4 linked regions of the Ovis aries genome follow. The protein of the gene in region 3 interacts with the protein of the main gene of each other region in a pairwise test. Links are inferred from orthologs where the notes say so. Each region holds a gene or a part of one and is shown on either strand. Other genes may lie near its edges. The genes, in order: ARID5A, CBY2, CKS1B and MEOX1.

What was found.
Region 1: the proteins of CKS1B (region 3) and ARID5A interact in binary tests that used the Homo sapiens proteins (3 or more experiments, as listed by UniProt). The two-hybrid records come from large-scale screens. The link is inferred for Ovis aries from reciprocal best matches to the Homo sapiens genes CKS1B and ARID5A.
Region 2: the proteins of CKS1B (region 3) and CBY2 interact in binary tests that used the Homo sapiens proteins (3 or more experiments, as listed by UniProt). The two-hybrid records come from large-scale screens. The link is inferred for Ovis aries from reciprocal best matches to the Homo sapiens genes CKS1B and CBY2.
Region 4: the proteins of CKS1B (region 3) and MEOX1 interact in binary tests that used the Homo sapiens proteins (3 or more experiments, as listed by UniProt). The two-hybrid records come from large-scale screens. The link is inferred for Ovis aries from reciprocal best matches to the Homo sapiens genes CKS1B and MEOX1.

What each region holds. Positions count from the first base shown.
Region 1 is NC_056056.1:103,915,185-103,918,358, forward strand, and holds the end of ARID5A (AT-rich interactive domain-containing protein 5A), read right to left. Parts: intron 3,129-3,174; coding exon 3,031-3,128; intron 2,963-3,030; exon of another isoform or gene 2,896-2,962; intron 2,623-2,895; coding exon 2,463-2,622; intron 2,121-2,462; coding exon 903-2,120; 3' UTR 549-902; downstream 1-548. UniProt on the Homo sapiens protein: DNA-binding protein that may regulate transcription and act as a repressor by binding to AT-rich stretches in the promoter region of target genes.
Region 2 is NC_056063.1:16,145,905-16,150,009, reverse strand, and holds the start of CBY2 (protein chibby homolog 2), read right to left. Parts: upstream 2,818-4,105; coding exon 2,764-2,817; intron 1-2,763.
Region 3 is NC_056054.1:105,196,886-105,200,886, reverse strand, and holds the start of CKS1B (cyclin-dependent kinases regulatory subunit 1), read right to left. Parts: upstream 2,857-4,001; 5' UTR 2,765-2,856; coding exon 2,706-2,764; intron 180-2,705; coding exon 52-179; intron 1-51.
Region 4 is NC_056064.1:43,309,060-43,313,083, reverse strand, and holds the start of MEOX1 (homeobox protein MOX-1), read left to right. Parts: upstream 1-1,195; 5' UTR 1,196-1,596; coding exon 1,597-2,065; intron 2,066-4,024. UniProt on the Homo sapiens protein: Mesodermal transcription factor that plays a key role in somitogenesis and is specifically required for sclerotome development. Required for maintenance of the sclerotome polarity and formation of the cranio-cervical joints.

The sequences.
Region 1 (3,174 bases), on a different chromosome or scaffold from region 3:
CACCTGCTCTCCCACCCCACACATGTGGCAGGCTAGTAGAAGGGCTCGCCAAGAAGACTCGGCAGCAGCCCCCAAGTCGGCATCCAGCACCAGGGCAAGCGACGCCAGCGTCCTGCTTGCACCCTCAGCCCCAGGAGCACTGCCGACAGCTGCAGGGCACCCACGTGGTTTAGCTCAGGGTGCTGGATCACGCCCAGTGCACAGCTCTGCTCCCCCACGTACCCACGGGGGAACGGGGCAAGTCCCAGCCTCTCTGAGCCTCAGACTCCGATCTGCACCATGAGGAAGGTAACAGCTGGCTGTCCCCAGACTCAACCAGCCCAGTGGGCTGAAGGCACAGGACGAAGGGCACAGCGTGCAGAAGTATGAGCGGGAGGCTGGGTTTGCCCTGGCCCTGCTCGTTAGTCCAGTGACAGCGTCCCAGGCAGGAGTGGGTGCTGGGCAGGTCCCTCTCCTTGGCTCCCCATCACCCTATGGGTGGCGCTGCCCATGAGAACACCCCCGCCTCACTGCTCCTGCAAAGGTCCACACCACACACACCTCAGGGCTGCGTGGATTCACTGGTGTTTTATTGGATTTTCCACAGGCAGCATGGACAGCCCCGTGGCCCTTCACCCGCCCCGATCCCTGCTCTGGGGCCCGGGCTGGGGGCTGTCCACCTCTCGATGTCTTCTCCTGAGGCATGCCATCACTGGGCCCCAGCCCCTGGGCTCAGGCTGCCATCTTGAGAGAGAAACCCAGTCTGCCCAGAGCCTTCTGGGCCAGGCTTCCCAGCCGGGGGCCCATCCCTGTCAGGCACAGGCGAGCTCTCCTGAGGGGCTCCGAGCCAGAGCTCCCGGCAGTGCCCACCCACCCCAGGCTGAGGCCAGACCCTGACTGCGCACAGCACAGCAGGCCCAGACCTACAGCTTGGTGTTGAGGTGGAAAGAGAAGTGGGGTGCCGTGTAGGCCGTGGCAGGAGGCACGTGCCATGGAGACGAGGCCGGGCAGAGTCTGTGGCACAGGGCACCATCAAAGGATGCCGGTGGGAGGTGCATCAGGCCAGCGGTCATGGGCGAGGGCGCTGTGGCGGCCAGCAGGTGGGCTGGGAAGGCAGGGATGACCAGGGGGCTGAAGGGGAGGGTGGCCTGGCCCTTTAAGGGGCCCAGGGTGCCAGCGAGGTTCAGTGGACAGTGCAGCATGGTACCCCTGTAGGCCTCCGGGAGGGCGGGGCCCAGCAGGCAGGAGACGGCCAAGTCAGGGCCCCCGGGCTTGGTCCCACACTCCTGGGCATTCGCCTCCTTCAGAAAGGGAGACACTGCCCGCAGTTTTTTGCCACCGTGGACCGAGCCCTCTTCCGCCAGGCTGCGCTTGTGGCCCAGGCCTGGGCTGCTCGGGAAGGTTGGCAGGGGCATGGGGCTCTCAGCAGGGACCTTGGTCATGGGGGACACCCAGCAGGCTTTGGGTTTGGGGTAGAGGCTGCCCTTTCTGGAGCTGCCCTTGTGGAATGCAGAAGGGCGGCCGGCATCCCCACCCCACACCAGCGGGGGCTCTTTGGCTGGCAGCCCCTCCTCCTTGGCAGGGGGCCCCAACAACACCCTATCTTTAAGACTGGGGAAAAGGTCCCTGGGACGCTGGCTGACAGGCTTCAGCACTTCGCTGGGGTAGGCGTGGAAGCAGCCGGTGACAACGGGGGCCGACGGGCGAGGGCCTGCCTGTGTCTCCCGCCAGAGGCCGCCCCCGGGGGCCTGCCTTCCTTCCAGGGGTGTCAGCCGGTCCCTGGAGTCCTCGGCCGGCCCTCCTGGGCTCTGGGGACTCTCCACGGGCGGGGCAGCTGGGGGTCCCTGGGGCTCCCCACCTGCCCCGTGGCGACAGCCCTCCTCCTGACACTGCAAGGCCTCTGCCTTGCTCACCTGGGCCAGGAGCTTCTTTTTGGCCAGCGGTGACATGATACCATGTGTCCCTCTGCAGTAGAAGCTAGACAGGAGCCGTTTGTAGGCCTCAGGGCAGCCACTGGCACCCAAAAAGGGCAGAGAGGGCCCCACGGCTGGGCCTCGCTGCTCCATGCCATCCCTGGGTGTCTCCTGGCTAGGAAGCCTTGCCAGGTCAGGGGCATCTGCTTTGGTCTTTGCTGGCATCAGCTAGAATGAGAAAAGGCCAAGCCTCAGGGGACAGGAGGGAGCCAGCTCTTCCAGCACGTTCGTGTAAAACTGTCAAAAGGCGTCCCATCCGCTGAACAGACACAGCTTGGTGTCAGGACATGGGGCCTGGTGAAATGGGGTGCAGACTAGGACTCAGACCCCACGTGCACTCCCAACTTGAGGGCCCTCAAGTAATGAACCACTCCATGACCCTTGCCCCCCCGCCCCGGTGCTGCCCTTGGGGGAGAGAGGTGTTCTGGGGGTTCCAGGCAGGGAGCTCTGCAGCCACAGTGAGCTGGTAGGGGGCGCTTTGAGAGGTATGGCACGGGGCTTGGAGCTCACCTGGTCCACCCGCTTCTCCTCCTTGACCTTCTTTGGTCTCTCAGTGGCCCCATCATCCCCCCGAGGCTCCTTGGCCATCTTGTACTGCTTCCTGGGCTTGGAGGGGGGCAGGGGCTTGTCATCCTCCCCCTTCAGGTGCCGCACGTATGGGAGGACCAGCCTGGGGAGGAGCCGGGCATGTCGCCAGGGGGCCAGGCTAGCAGGAGGCTCCCACCCTTCTAGGCCCACCCCGGCTTCCCCCCGGCCCAGACCGCCAACACCCCTGCCCGACCAGCACACAGACACCCCCCAGCTGTGGGGGCTGCCGCCCGCCCCCAGCCCACCGCCCATCAGAGTTGCCGGGGGGCAGCCCAGGGGCCCGCACCTCTTGTAGTGGCGGCCCCCACCCCACCGCCCATCAGAGTTGCCGGGGGGGCAGCCCAGGGCCCCGCACCTCTCGTAGTGGCGGCCCCCACCCCACCGCCCGTCGGAGTTGCCGGGGGGCAGCCCAGGGCCCCGCACCTCTCGTAGTGGCGGCCCCCACCCCACCGCCCGTCGGAGTTGCCGGGGGGCAGCCCAGGGCCCGCACCTCTCGTAGTGGCGGCGCGTGCATGTGGCCGCACTGGTGCTGCCCGGGCTGCCTCCCAGCTCATCGTACACGTTCTTCCAGAGGCGGCGGCCAGTCACCTGCAAGGGTGCCACGTCAGGGTATAGCTGGTGGGCGCCCCCTGCC
Region 2 (4,105 bases), on a different chromosome or scaffold from region 3:
TTCCAAGAAAGAAAGGACAGTTTCTTCCTTGACATGTAGGACATGCCCTCATAGGTGGGAGAGGAGAAGCGGGGGGCTTCTTCATGGAAGAACGGGATACAGGAAGGAAGCAGGAGGGGAGACGTGTGGCCGTGGCTTTGTTAGGAAGGTGACCCAGAGATGCTGCTCTCGGGAGCAAAGTGCTCCCGGCTGTGACCTAAAGAAGCTGCATCAGTGCTAAGGACGCAGGAAGGGCCCTGGGTCCCGAGAGCTCCCGCTCAGATGCCTGAATCCCACCTGTGGCTGAGCTCCATCCTCAGCATCAGCCCTGGGCCTCCCTGGTGGCTCAGTCTGCCTGCAATGCAGGAGACCCTGGTTCCATCCCTGGGTCCGGAAGATCCCCTGGAGAAGGGAATGGCAGCCCACTCCAGTAGTCTTGCCCGGACAATCCCATGGACAGAGGAGCCTGGCGGGCTACAGTCCGTGGGGCTGCCGAGTAGCAAACGTGACTGAGCGACTAACACTTTCACTCTTCACTCTTCATCCTTCTCCCCAGCATCCGTTTTTAAAATACACGTGGTACTGGAAGGAAAGTGTATGAGATAACCAACTGCATGCTTCGGTCAGATCACCAGCCTTTTGTGTGGCAAATGGAGCCCACACAGGAGGGATGGTGGCTAGAAACGGGGGTAGGGCTAAGGGCAGAGGGGAGGTAATAAGACCAAAGCATCTTTCTGAAGCTAAGGGGTATCTAAGGAATAGGACCTTCGGGGATGGAGCTTTTGAGGTTGCTGGCCTCCCATCTGAAGCGTTGGGGAACAGAACTGGACAGTGACTTGCCAGTTTAGTTGCCAGGCACTGAGATTCTCTGCACTTCCACAGACCAGAAGAGACGTCCAAATGCCCTCAGCAGACTCCAAGTCTGTTGACCAAGTGTTTTTAAAGCCCTGCTTTTGCCAGCATTACTGAGGGTTATGGTCAGAGAATATTCAGCCCTCTGGGGTTACGTTTCAAGCCTGGGGAAGCTGAGACCCAGAATATGCTGGAAGGAAAGGCAGCTGCTGCTGCTGCTACTGCTGCTAAGTCACTTCAGTCGTGTCCAACTCTGTGCAACCCCATAGATGGCAGCCCACCAGGCTCCTCTGTCCCTAGGATTCTCCAGATCTGCCACTAATTTTCAGACCAGGTGACAAGGCTGAGTATCACGAGCATATGCTTAAATCAACTCCGCTCCCAAGTGCCATGAGAAAGTCAATGTTGGTTTTAATAAACGCTAACAGATAAGAGGATAATTTGCAGGTCAATGTAATTGATTTGGATAGAATCCTAATACTAACAGCAAAGAGGCTAAAGATGTCCTCTCTCATCGTATGTGGTAGTTTTAGCTAATTGTTTAACACAGAATCTTCCGAAATCCTCCTAACACTTTTTCAAACTGGCAGAGCTACAGGCATTGTCGGCCACAGATTCCATAGCTTCCAAAGAACAAACCCAAACAAAGGGGATTGAAAAAAGGCAACAGAGAGGGACAAGGCGGGGCCCTGGAGGGGTGATGGGACCCTATTCTGACCTGGTGAGGAGCCTTCATTAACAATCTCGCAGGAAACAGTGCCTTTATGAGATTCACAGAGAGTGCTCACTGGGAAAATGGGAGTGCTGGGGAGAACCGGTAGGTAGAAAAGGAATGGGGGGGGGGCGGGGGCAAGGGAGGTGGGGGGGGCAAGGGGGGGGGGGGGGGCAAGGGAGGTGGAGGGGCGGCGTGCAGAGAACTTGGGAAGGAAGTAACTAGGGAAGGCTGGCAAGTTAATGCCCTGGAGAGAAACAGATTAGAAAACACAAATATTTACTGTGAGGAAGGAAAACTGGAAATCAATAAGACCCGAAAAGACCTAAGGGTGATAACAAATAGAGAATCACAGACATTCGCAATGCAAATGAGAAGCGTTCAGGCAGGGTTGGGAGCTGGGGGGGTGCAGAGGCACTTTCTGGAGACACAGAGCTGCTCCTGCAATTTCTTCTCAAAACAAATGGACTCAGTCTCAGAACCAGAACGGAGCAGAATGTGGCAGATTCGTGCAGGGGCTTGGCAGTTAAGATGGGGGGTGGGGAGGCACCCTGTCCTAAAAGCCAGGGAAGAAGCAGGCGGCATGTGCCCAGCTTGTGGCAGAGGACGTGGGCACTGACCTGGCTTCAAGCCTCTAACTCCAGCTCCGCCATTACTAGTGGACTTGCTGAGGTTCCCAGTTCCCGGTCCTTTGCAATCTCTCCCTCGCTCTGCATGGCCCAGGGCCCCGATGTGACCAATCCAGTGCGCAGTCACTCTCCTTTCTTCCCCGTGTGACCCAGATCAACCCTTCCCCTGCCACCAGCCGTCAGCCTCTCCTTTGGGGAGGTCCAGTCGGCACACTGGTCCCTCTCACAGCCCGCTCAGATCATCTAAACGCAGAGGTGCCCCTTTATCCCCAGAGAGAAGGAAATGGCAACCCACTCCAGTACTCTTGCCTGGAGAATCCCATGGACAGAGGAGCCTGGCGGGGCCACAGTCCACGGGGTGGCAAAGAGTCGGGTGCGACTGAGCACGCTTCCCCCAGAGTGTGCCCAGCCCATCCTGGCAGGGGTCTGGAGCCTGACTCAGGACTTGTGCGCCTCCAGAGTACCCTGGACGCTCATCTGCCCGTGTGTGGCACAGGCAGCAGGTTGAACTCTAATTTCATGCCTCCAAGACCCCACTGGGGAGTCAACCCTCTCCCCACACATCCCTGGACAGAGCTTTCAGATCGTTACCTCTGCGTTGGATTCCTCCACCCTACATTTCAGCCCCTCTGGTTGCACCGCCATGATCTTCCCCCAGGGCCTTAGGTGACTCTGGAGAAGCAAGGCTGCCCCCTTTGTGACATAGCAGCAGAAACAATCCAATCAGGAGGACCCCTCCCGGGAAACGGCTGCTTAGCAGAAGGAGAACTGAGAATGTCCAGCCTGTCGCCCGTGCGCTGGCCTCCATTCTGACCCCCCCAGGCTCATCCCCCTTACGCTCTGTCCCTGGTACACGGCAGGCCCTAATTCTCCTGACCCCTCCACAGGAGCCCAGACCCCTCGGTCCATGTCCCAGGTGTATGGGTTCGGGCCTGTGCCCTTGATCCCAAGTCTCAGTTCTAATCCTCTACCCAGAAGTCCAGAGTAGTGCACAATGTGGGTGTGTGCTAAGTCGCTTCAGTCGTGTCCGACTCTGCAACCCTCTGGACTGTAGCCCGTTAGGCTCCTCTGTCCGTGGGATTCTCCAGGCAAGAATTCTGGAGTGGGTTGCCATTTCCTCCTCCAGGGGATCTTCCCCACCCAGGGATCGAACCCGGGTCTCTTGCGTCTTTTGCATTGGCAGGCGGTTTCTTTACCACTAGTGCCCCCTGGTGGTAAAGAAGCTCCAAACGCTCTAATTTTGAAAAGATTGTCACAGAAACTTCTAGTGGTCGGGCTGGATGGTCTTACCAGATCAATGAACCCACCCTCTCATCTGACCGGAAACCCAAGACTCCAAGTGACTAAGTGGACTGCCCCTGGCACACAGCTGGCTGGCAGCTGACCTTCAGCTAGAATCTGAGGCCCTGGCTACCACTGACCTGCAGTATCTTGCTAGAGCTTGGAAAGAGGGGGATTATTCTGGCCAAAACTGAGAGGTTACAGCCTTCAGTGTTCATCCCTACCTGAGGTAGAACCACATTGATGGGAATTTCTAGGCTTTCAGATCTGGTATCTCTTTTTCTTGTAAAATTTGGCCTCGAGTGCTGTGGAAAAGAGAAAATAGGCAGATTTCTGTTTTCCAGCCCATCGTCTGAGCCTCAGCTGCTCAACTGCAAAACAGGACTTCCTACTATTCACTTCTCCCCTCCTGTTAATTATGTACCTTACGAGAATGTGAAGATGGTATCTGATAAGATGCTTCATCAATCTCTGAACAGAAATTAAGACAGGTCTATATAGTTGATGACAAAGCCTTCTGAAAGTCTTTAGCTACTAGCTTTCCTAAGATTACTATTTCTAGCTCAAGGAAAAAGCCATACCAACGTTAGGTGCCAGGTATAGGTCCTGTGCAGAAGTTGGTCACCAAAACACTCAGAACATTCCAGAGGTG
Region 3 (4,001 bases):
ATTCCTTCATTTCCTTGGTCCTACATGGTTGCTTTCAGCCATTGCACTGACCTGGTTCATGGATCATATAATGGACCCATCCCTGACTCTGCTGAACACCAAGATTCCTCCATTCAGATTCAGACATCAAATGAGTTTTAGGGACCAGCTTGGCTATGTCCTTGGGCAACATGACATGCCTGTAATAGAAACGTGGGAAGGTGGGAAATTTGTATCAGAACTGGGTACAATCTATCAGATGAGGGGGCTAGCAGGTAAAGCCAAGACAGACAAGAAAAGAGAAACCAGTTTGTAATGGCAGGGAGTTTATAAAATCTTATTGTAGTGCAAAGGCAGCTAGAAATAAAGCCCAAGTTACAGGCCAAGTTACGTAAATTCTCACGAAAGTATATTAGAAAGTACATATTAATGAATAACACCCGTGAATGAGTGCCAAAATTATAGCCACTTACAGTCCTCTAGTTGATTACTCTTAAACAATATAATGGGAGCCCCAGAACACACACACAGACTGTTAATAATTAGGGGTGGTTCTGAACAGGGTTGTAAGGAAGAGAGAGAAGTGATTTCAGAGAGGAAAGGCCTATCAGGCAGTGCTGTGTGGAAGAGCCAGAACATAAAATCAAATATATGGAGAAGGAAATGGCAACCCACTCCAGTATTCTTTCGTGGGGAATTCCATGGACAGAGGAGCCTAGCAGGCTATAATCCATGCGGTCGCAGAGAGTTGGACATGACTTAGCGACTAGACAACAACAAAGATATCTATTTATACATTTATACTTTTATAAATTTCTATGGCCTATGTATAAAATGTCCACAATCCCCTCACTTTTTAAGTTTTACAATTTACAATTTTACAAACACCTGAAGGCAAACATTTTTCTCATAATCCATTTGGTTACTAAATCTGAGATGACCTGAATTTATCTGCTGGTGAAATAAAGACTTTTTTACCCGCCCCTGTCACCAAGAATGAAATAGAAAAATCTTCTCTTTTAAAATCTATCCTCATAAGTTACATTTTTCAACTCTGAAAGGATGTGCCACGAGACTTCTTTGGGGGAGACTCCATGCTTTCCTAACCAAGGATAAGTCTCCTTTTATAGCAAAGAAATTACTACTTGAATTGGGGTGACCCAGACTTGATTATTATGTTCAGTGACACTGCACTGAATGCTCTCTCTGTGCTAAGTAAAAGGGATTTCACCCCCCCACCCCCCACCTGTAAGTCAATTCTGGTTTAAATGTCTGAAAACAGCTTACATCCTAATAAGCCAATGGCATAAAGACTGGCTTCCAGGGACTATTTAGACCAAAACAAAACAAAACAAAACAAACCTTTCCTTAAATCAAATATCACTGCCAAGACTTACATCCTCCAGAGGATGAAACTAGTGATGTCTCCCTAGCCCTGCAAAGACATTTTAAGCACACAATTTTAGTTAGCCTAGTTCAGATGTAGAGAACAGCTGAGGAAAAGAGTTAATTGGGTTCAAACAGGGCTGGAGTGTTTTTTTTTCTTTTGGTCGGGATTGTAGTTGCAGCGTGTGGGACCTACTTCCCTGACCAGGGATTGAACCCAAGTCTCCTGCACTGGGTGTTTACCATCTTAGCCACTGGACCACCAGTGAAATCCCAGGGCTGGGGATCTTTTCCCAAGGATCGGACATAAAAACAATGCAGGCAGGGTTATTTGACAGCATACACCAAGTTCTCCAGAAGGCTCAGAGCCCTGCACTAGGCTCAAGAAACACACGAAAACCAAGCTTCCAGTTGTTTTAACTATTAACGCTTACTACAGATTAGTGGAATGCCAACATTTGTAAAATTCTTTGTGTTGCTTTATTTTCTAATCTAGAATTATGGACTTAAGAGCTTATCAAATGCAAACTCTGTATGGAGTCCTTTCTTTATCATGTTTGGTAAATCCTATGTGCTCCCACCACAACCTACATGTACATAGCTCTATTATACCAATTATCATCTTCTTTCTGAAGCCTGTCAGTATTTCCACATATTTTTTAGGTCTGTTGAAAGCAGGGACCATGGCTTATCCGTGTACTTTAGCAGAACACCTGAAACCTATAAACACTCCATAATTGTTTCCCAAGTAGATGCCCTTCAAACATTTGACGGTAATCTATTAGGGCCATATTAAGTCTTTCCTCAGTGGTTCTGGTCAGTTTTACTCGATTCCAGTTCCTCGAAGCCCCCCTTCCTAAAACAAATCAGACAACCACGCCCCTTTCCCATGGATTAATAAGCAACACTCAGGCTCTCTTAGAACTCTCCTCACTTTGAAGACTCGAAGAAAATTCAAGCTTCGCCTTTGCCACCTTCTCCCAGAAGGCTCTACGGTGTGGCTGTAATACAAGCAGTCTCAGGAAGGCAAGTTCAGTTTACTCAACTGAGGTGAGAGAATGGTCCAGAAACCCGCAAAGCTGAGGGTGGTCAGTATTCTAACATTCGAACACTCTAACCACGACCACCCATGCCTCCTTCCAAATTCGCTATCACTCTAGGGGTTTTTTTTGATTGCCCCCCTACCTTTCGCGCATGCGCCTCACACTCTCAGCACACCCATTCCCGTTAACCTCCCGCGCATGCGCCAACTCTGCAGTTTTCAGTCCCCGTTACCAACTTCTCGTGCCCTCAGTTGTCAGAACTCACGACCTTGATATTGCCCCCGCGCCGGCACTAACCGGTACTCGAACTCCTCGTCGTCGTATTTGTCCGAATAGTAAATTTGTTTGTGCGACATGATCACTCTGCCTGAGGACCTTCAGCCCCGCGCCGCCAACCTCCGAACAACTCCCAGCAGCACGCGCTCCCACCCTCTTTGGCCTCGCTTTCAAACACGCCGCCTGCGCTTTCTATTGGTCCCTCTGCCGGAAGGCGGGACAACCCCACCTTCAAGCCTCCGATTGGCTTAGGTTTGCTTCTACTCAAGTCCTCATTGGAATGAACATTGCTCAAGAATTGCCGTAAGTAAAAAATAGACGTTTTATTGGCTATCACTGCTACTGTGCTCGTCCGCGCACTGCCATTGGTTGATTCGGGAAAGAGGGACGGGTGAAGGAGGGACAATGAGGTACAGGGTCAGGGGTTAGTGAGGCCGGAAGTGAGTGCAATAAAGTTTCTCCAGGGAGGCCGGGCCCGGGGAGAAAGTTGGAGCGGCAACCTGAGGAGACAGTGGCGTGATCCGGAACCAAATCGGCCCGCGGTGCGGTGCGGAGACTCCATGAAGTCCTGGTGAGTTGGGACATTTTTCTTCTTAGGTGACCCACTCCTCTACCCCGGAACCCCTCTCCCGGGACCCTACTTCCGGTCTTCATTTACAAGTCCCGCCCTCTGCGACCCCCTCCCCGGAAGTCCCACCTCCCAACTTCAGGGGGCTCTCCGAACCCCGACTTATATTCCATTTACTGTCCCCAATCCTACCCTGTCGTCCAGCTTTCCTGGAAGTCCCACCCCCAGACATGCTTCCAAACCCCTGCATTAGTCCTTCCGATTCCCCGAAACCCCGCCTTCTCGAGACTATTCTCCGTTAACCCCTGTCTATCAAAAGCCTAACTCCCAAAAGGGCAGAACCCTGCTACTCAAAGAACTATTCGAATTCGTGAGGCCACGCCTCCCTAAGGGTTCCGCCCCTTTAGAAGCCTCGCCCCTTCCTTAATCCACGTCGGATCGTCCAGAAGCCTCGCCTCCTGGGAGTCTCTGGTGCACGCGTCTTGAGGGGCCACGCCCCTTCAGGAGCGTTATCCCGGTTGGACCCTTGTCATCGCCTCAGGAGCTTTGTCTTCAATCCCAGAAACTTCACCTGCTTGCGCTTCCTCGTTCCTTTTCTCTTTGGGGCCCTTGGCTCAGTTTTCCTGAGCTCTTAGGCTCCACTGGATAGGGTCAAAAGTTCACATCTCTGACTCTGTGGAGTAAGAGATTAGAGGCAGCCCTTTCCCTCTCCCTTAGCCCCTTCCAAGGGTGGACCTACTTGAAGGGGG
Region 4 (4,024 bases), on a different chromosome or scaffold from region 3:
CCATTTCCTTCTCCAGGGGATCTTCCCAACCCAGGGATTGAACTCTGGTCTCCTGCATGCATTGCAGGCGGATCCTTTACCCTCTGAGCCACGAGGGAAGCTCTTAGACAATGAGACTGTTTGTCAAAGAGAACTCTTTGGGGACTTCCCTGGTGGTCCAGTGGCTAAGACTCCACGCTCCCAATGCAGGGAGCCCGGGGTTCATTCCTTGGTCAAGGAACTAGATACTATGTGCTGCAATAAAAATCGAAGATCCCCCATGCCGCAGCTAAGATTTGGTGCAGCCAAGTAAATAAATATTTTTAAAAAGAGAGAGAGAGAATTCTTTGGGAAACGAGAAGCTCCTGATTCCAATTTCCATGCACAGACTCCATGGAAAACTTGGCCTCTGGGGGTGGGGAAGACAAAGCAGGTGGGCGAAGGTTACAGGGCCAGAGAGCAGGTGGGGGAAGCCAGGAGAAACTTCAAGGAACCTACCTAAGTGTCTTTCCTTTGCCTTGGGGAAAAATGACTTGAAACCCCACTAGACAAGAGTGTGGCTAATTGGCATGTAAGTTGGGGGTTAAAGAGCGGAAGGAAGAATCTGATTGTTTTTTTAAGTTACTGAGAAAGTGAGAATGTCACTGTGGGCTGAGAGAAATAATTTTTTTTTCTGGAGTGTGTCTCTCTTTCTACTACAGACCGTAGTGGGCCACTGAGACTTGCAAAAAAAGATTGCTTTTAATCCACCTTCCTTTTTGCAAGCAGCAGTAGAAGGGCCTTTAAATCAAATGCAATCAGCAAACTTGTCTCTTGCACTTATTCCCCGCTTCACTCCCTGGAATTTGGCACTTGATGGTTTCTGGATCTGACTTAAGTCTTTTTTCAAATCCAAGACTTGGGGAATTTTGTTAACAGTGCAATAAAATAACTTCATAGTGTTATAGGAGGCACATTAAAGAAAGTGTGTGTGTGCTGCTCTCTTTCCTTAAAAAAAAATACAGACAATGTTTCTTTAAAAGACTCCATCTGCAAATCCCATTAGATGTGCATATAAGGTTTCTGATGATTAATAGTTGCCTGCTCGGGTTTTGGTTGGAGGGGATCGTGTGTGTGCTGGTTAACCCCTCCCTCTCCTCTCTCACATTTCACTTCAGAAATTTGTCACTCTCTCCCCACCGCAGGATTTAAAAGTGTGTCTCAGCAGCCCTGGACCAGCTCTTTGCAGGCATTTGCTGCGGGCTCCAGGACAAGCCCTCGTCAGCCGGTGCGTCTGGGCTGGGACAGTGAAAATGTTTAGTGTCATCGGCGACAAATACACGTATAGGGGACCCCACTAGGCAGGCTGGTGGGTCAGGGGGAACAGGAAGCCAGGAGCCAAATCCAACATAGGTGCGGGCACACATATGTGTGGCCACCCACACGTGTGCGTACTCTGAGGAGCAACTTTCATTTTGGTTTTTGTTTTGGTTCCTGGGGCGAATTTTCTATCGAACACTTTTGCCCTCCTGTTCATTAAAAAAAAAAAAATTTTTTTTGGTTGCATTTTTAACAATTTGAATATAAAAAGTGTAAGAATCCAACCTTTGAAAGGATTGAGGCGGGCAGCAGACGCAGATGGATCCAGCGGCCAGCAGCTGCATGAGGGGTCCCCACCCCCCGGCCCCTGTCTGGGGCTGCCTTCGAAACCCCCACTTGGAAGGCACTGGAGCCTCAGGGCTCCCCCACTACCCGCCAACCCCATTCTCCTTCCACCAGAAACCAGACTTCCCAGCGACAGCGACAACTACATACCCCAACTTCTCAGCTTCATGCCTGGCAGCCACCCCACACAGCCTGCCCCAGGAGGAGCGAGGCTTTACTGAGCAGCACCCTGCCTTCCCACAACCCCCCGATTGGCACTTCCCTGTGTCAGAGGCCCGGCGTAGGCTCAACCCAGGCCCCGTGGGGGGTTCCAAGGAGATAGGGGCCAACAGCCCAGGCCTGGTGGACACGACGGGAGGCCCAGGCGAGGACTATGAGGTCCTTGGGAGCACTGCCAATGAGACGGAGAAGAAGTCAACCAGACGGAAAAAGGAGAATTCAGGTAGGTGGCTGAGGAACAGATGACTGTTCCTTTACTGTGTGACTTTGAGGAAGTTGCTTGCCCTCTCTGAGCCTAGGTAGCCTGATGTGAATGGGGGATAATATAATCTAACCTCCCCAAAGGCCGGAGACTTAAACCAGTTACCTTTGGGGGTATTTCTGCTCAGAATTCTAGGATTCTCTGGTGATGGGGGCTATGTCTGTGTCCTCACCTCTCCTGGGTTCCGAGAAGGATGTGCTGGAAAGAGAATGAAACAGGATCCACAAAGATTGGAGGGCAGGTGGGATGGAGCCTCTGGGTACAGGTTGGCAAAGGCTGGAGGGAGCTTTTCTGAACTGGACTGTGTCTGGGTCACAGTTCTCCCCAGTATGCCCCAGCCTGTTCCAAATGGCCCCGAGAGCCCCAGGGCTTACTCCCCAGGAGAGTTAGTTTACTCCCCAAGGCTCAGAGGGCTAGGACCAAGGCTGGGACCCTGGGCAATCAAACAGAACCAGGACTCTGTGTCTCTGGAAGTCTAGAGGCAGCAAAGCAGACATAGGGCAGGGATGCGAGAGGCAAATGCTAGGGTTTGGGGCAGACTGACCGTGAGGAATGCACTGCCCTGCTGGGCTGTGTGTACAGGCCGAGGGGCAGCACAACCTGCTAAGGTCTGGGTGATCTCCCAAAGGCCACTCCTCAGAGGAGCCCTTCTGAGGAGTCACTGATTTGGGGGAGAGTCAGAGAGGCAAGCAGCAGAGGGTAAGCCCTGGTGGAGTATCAGAGGCCAGAGGATGGAGCTGACCTGCTTGTTCAGACCCCATTAATGTCCATCTGCTCCTGGTGGTGGGGACTGTTGTTTCCTCATCTCCCCACGGGATCTCCCAACTTTTCTCACCACCCATTCACCTTTTGTCTCATTCCCCGTCTCTATCTCGACCAGAACAAGACAGTGCCCTTGCTTCCTGCACCCACTGCCCGACTATGTCCTCCTAACGACTGCCCTCAGGGTACATCTATCTGTCTGAACCTACAGAAGAGTTTTCATGGGGCTAATGAGGAGCAGGCAGCAAATGAGAAGACCAACCAAAGAGAACACTCTCTGCTTTAGTTTACAAAGTGCTTTCAAAGTAGCCCAGATTTCCTGAGCATCTTTGTTTGCTGAGTTTTGGCAGAGGCCCTGGGGCTGCAGGGATGAATAAGGTGTTCTCACTCCTAAACAGCTCAAACTGAGAGGGAGGGGAGGCCAGCAGAAGCCACTGGCAGTGGATATGCTATGACTGAGGGGGTTCAAGGTGCTGTAAGAAACATATGATAGTTCTGAGTCACACAGGTTCAAGTTTGGTCTATCAGGTCTTATCAGTGCCTCGATTCTTTACATGTGGAAAAGAAGAGACTGAAAAGCTTGAGAGGAGTTCTGCTAACATGGAGTTAACAGAGAGTGACTCACTCATCCGAATGTACCCAGCACTTTCCTGGTTTTAGCACTGAAAGTCCAGTGTCCCCAGGACAGTTGGTCACCCTAGAAGAAAGCTCAAACCTCAGACTTCAGACCCCAAATCCCACACCCTTCAGTAGATCTCAAACGCAATTCTCATTTTGAAATATCTGGTCTCCATGCTTGAAGAAGTCCCTCAGTGTGCTCACAGTGGATGATAAAAACCACAGTCCCTGGTGGTCCAGTGGTTAAGACCCTGTGCTTCCCCTGCAGGGGGCAAGGGTTCAATACCTGGTCAGGGAACTAAGATTCCAGGTGCCATGCTTCAAGACCAATAAATAAAATAATAATTTCTTTGAGTTAAAAGCAAAGCAAAACAAAACATAGCCCTCTTGGATGCTATGAACAGAAGGGCTCTTTAAATTCTCACCCGGTTAAACCCTGAACTGTTCCTAGGCCTGGCTGGAAATTTGCTGAGAATGGGACACTTTCTGCTTCTCCTCTCCAAGGAACTCTCAGCTCCTTGGCTCTGTGCCTAGTTGAAG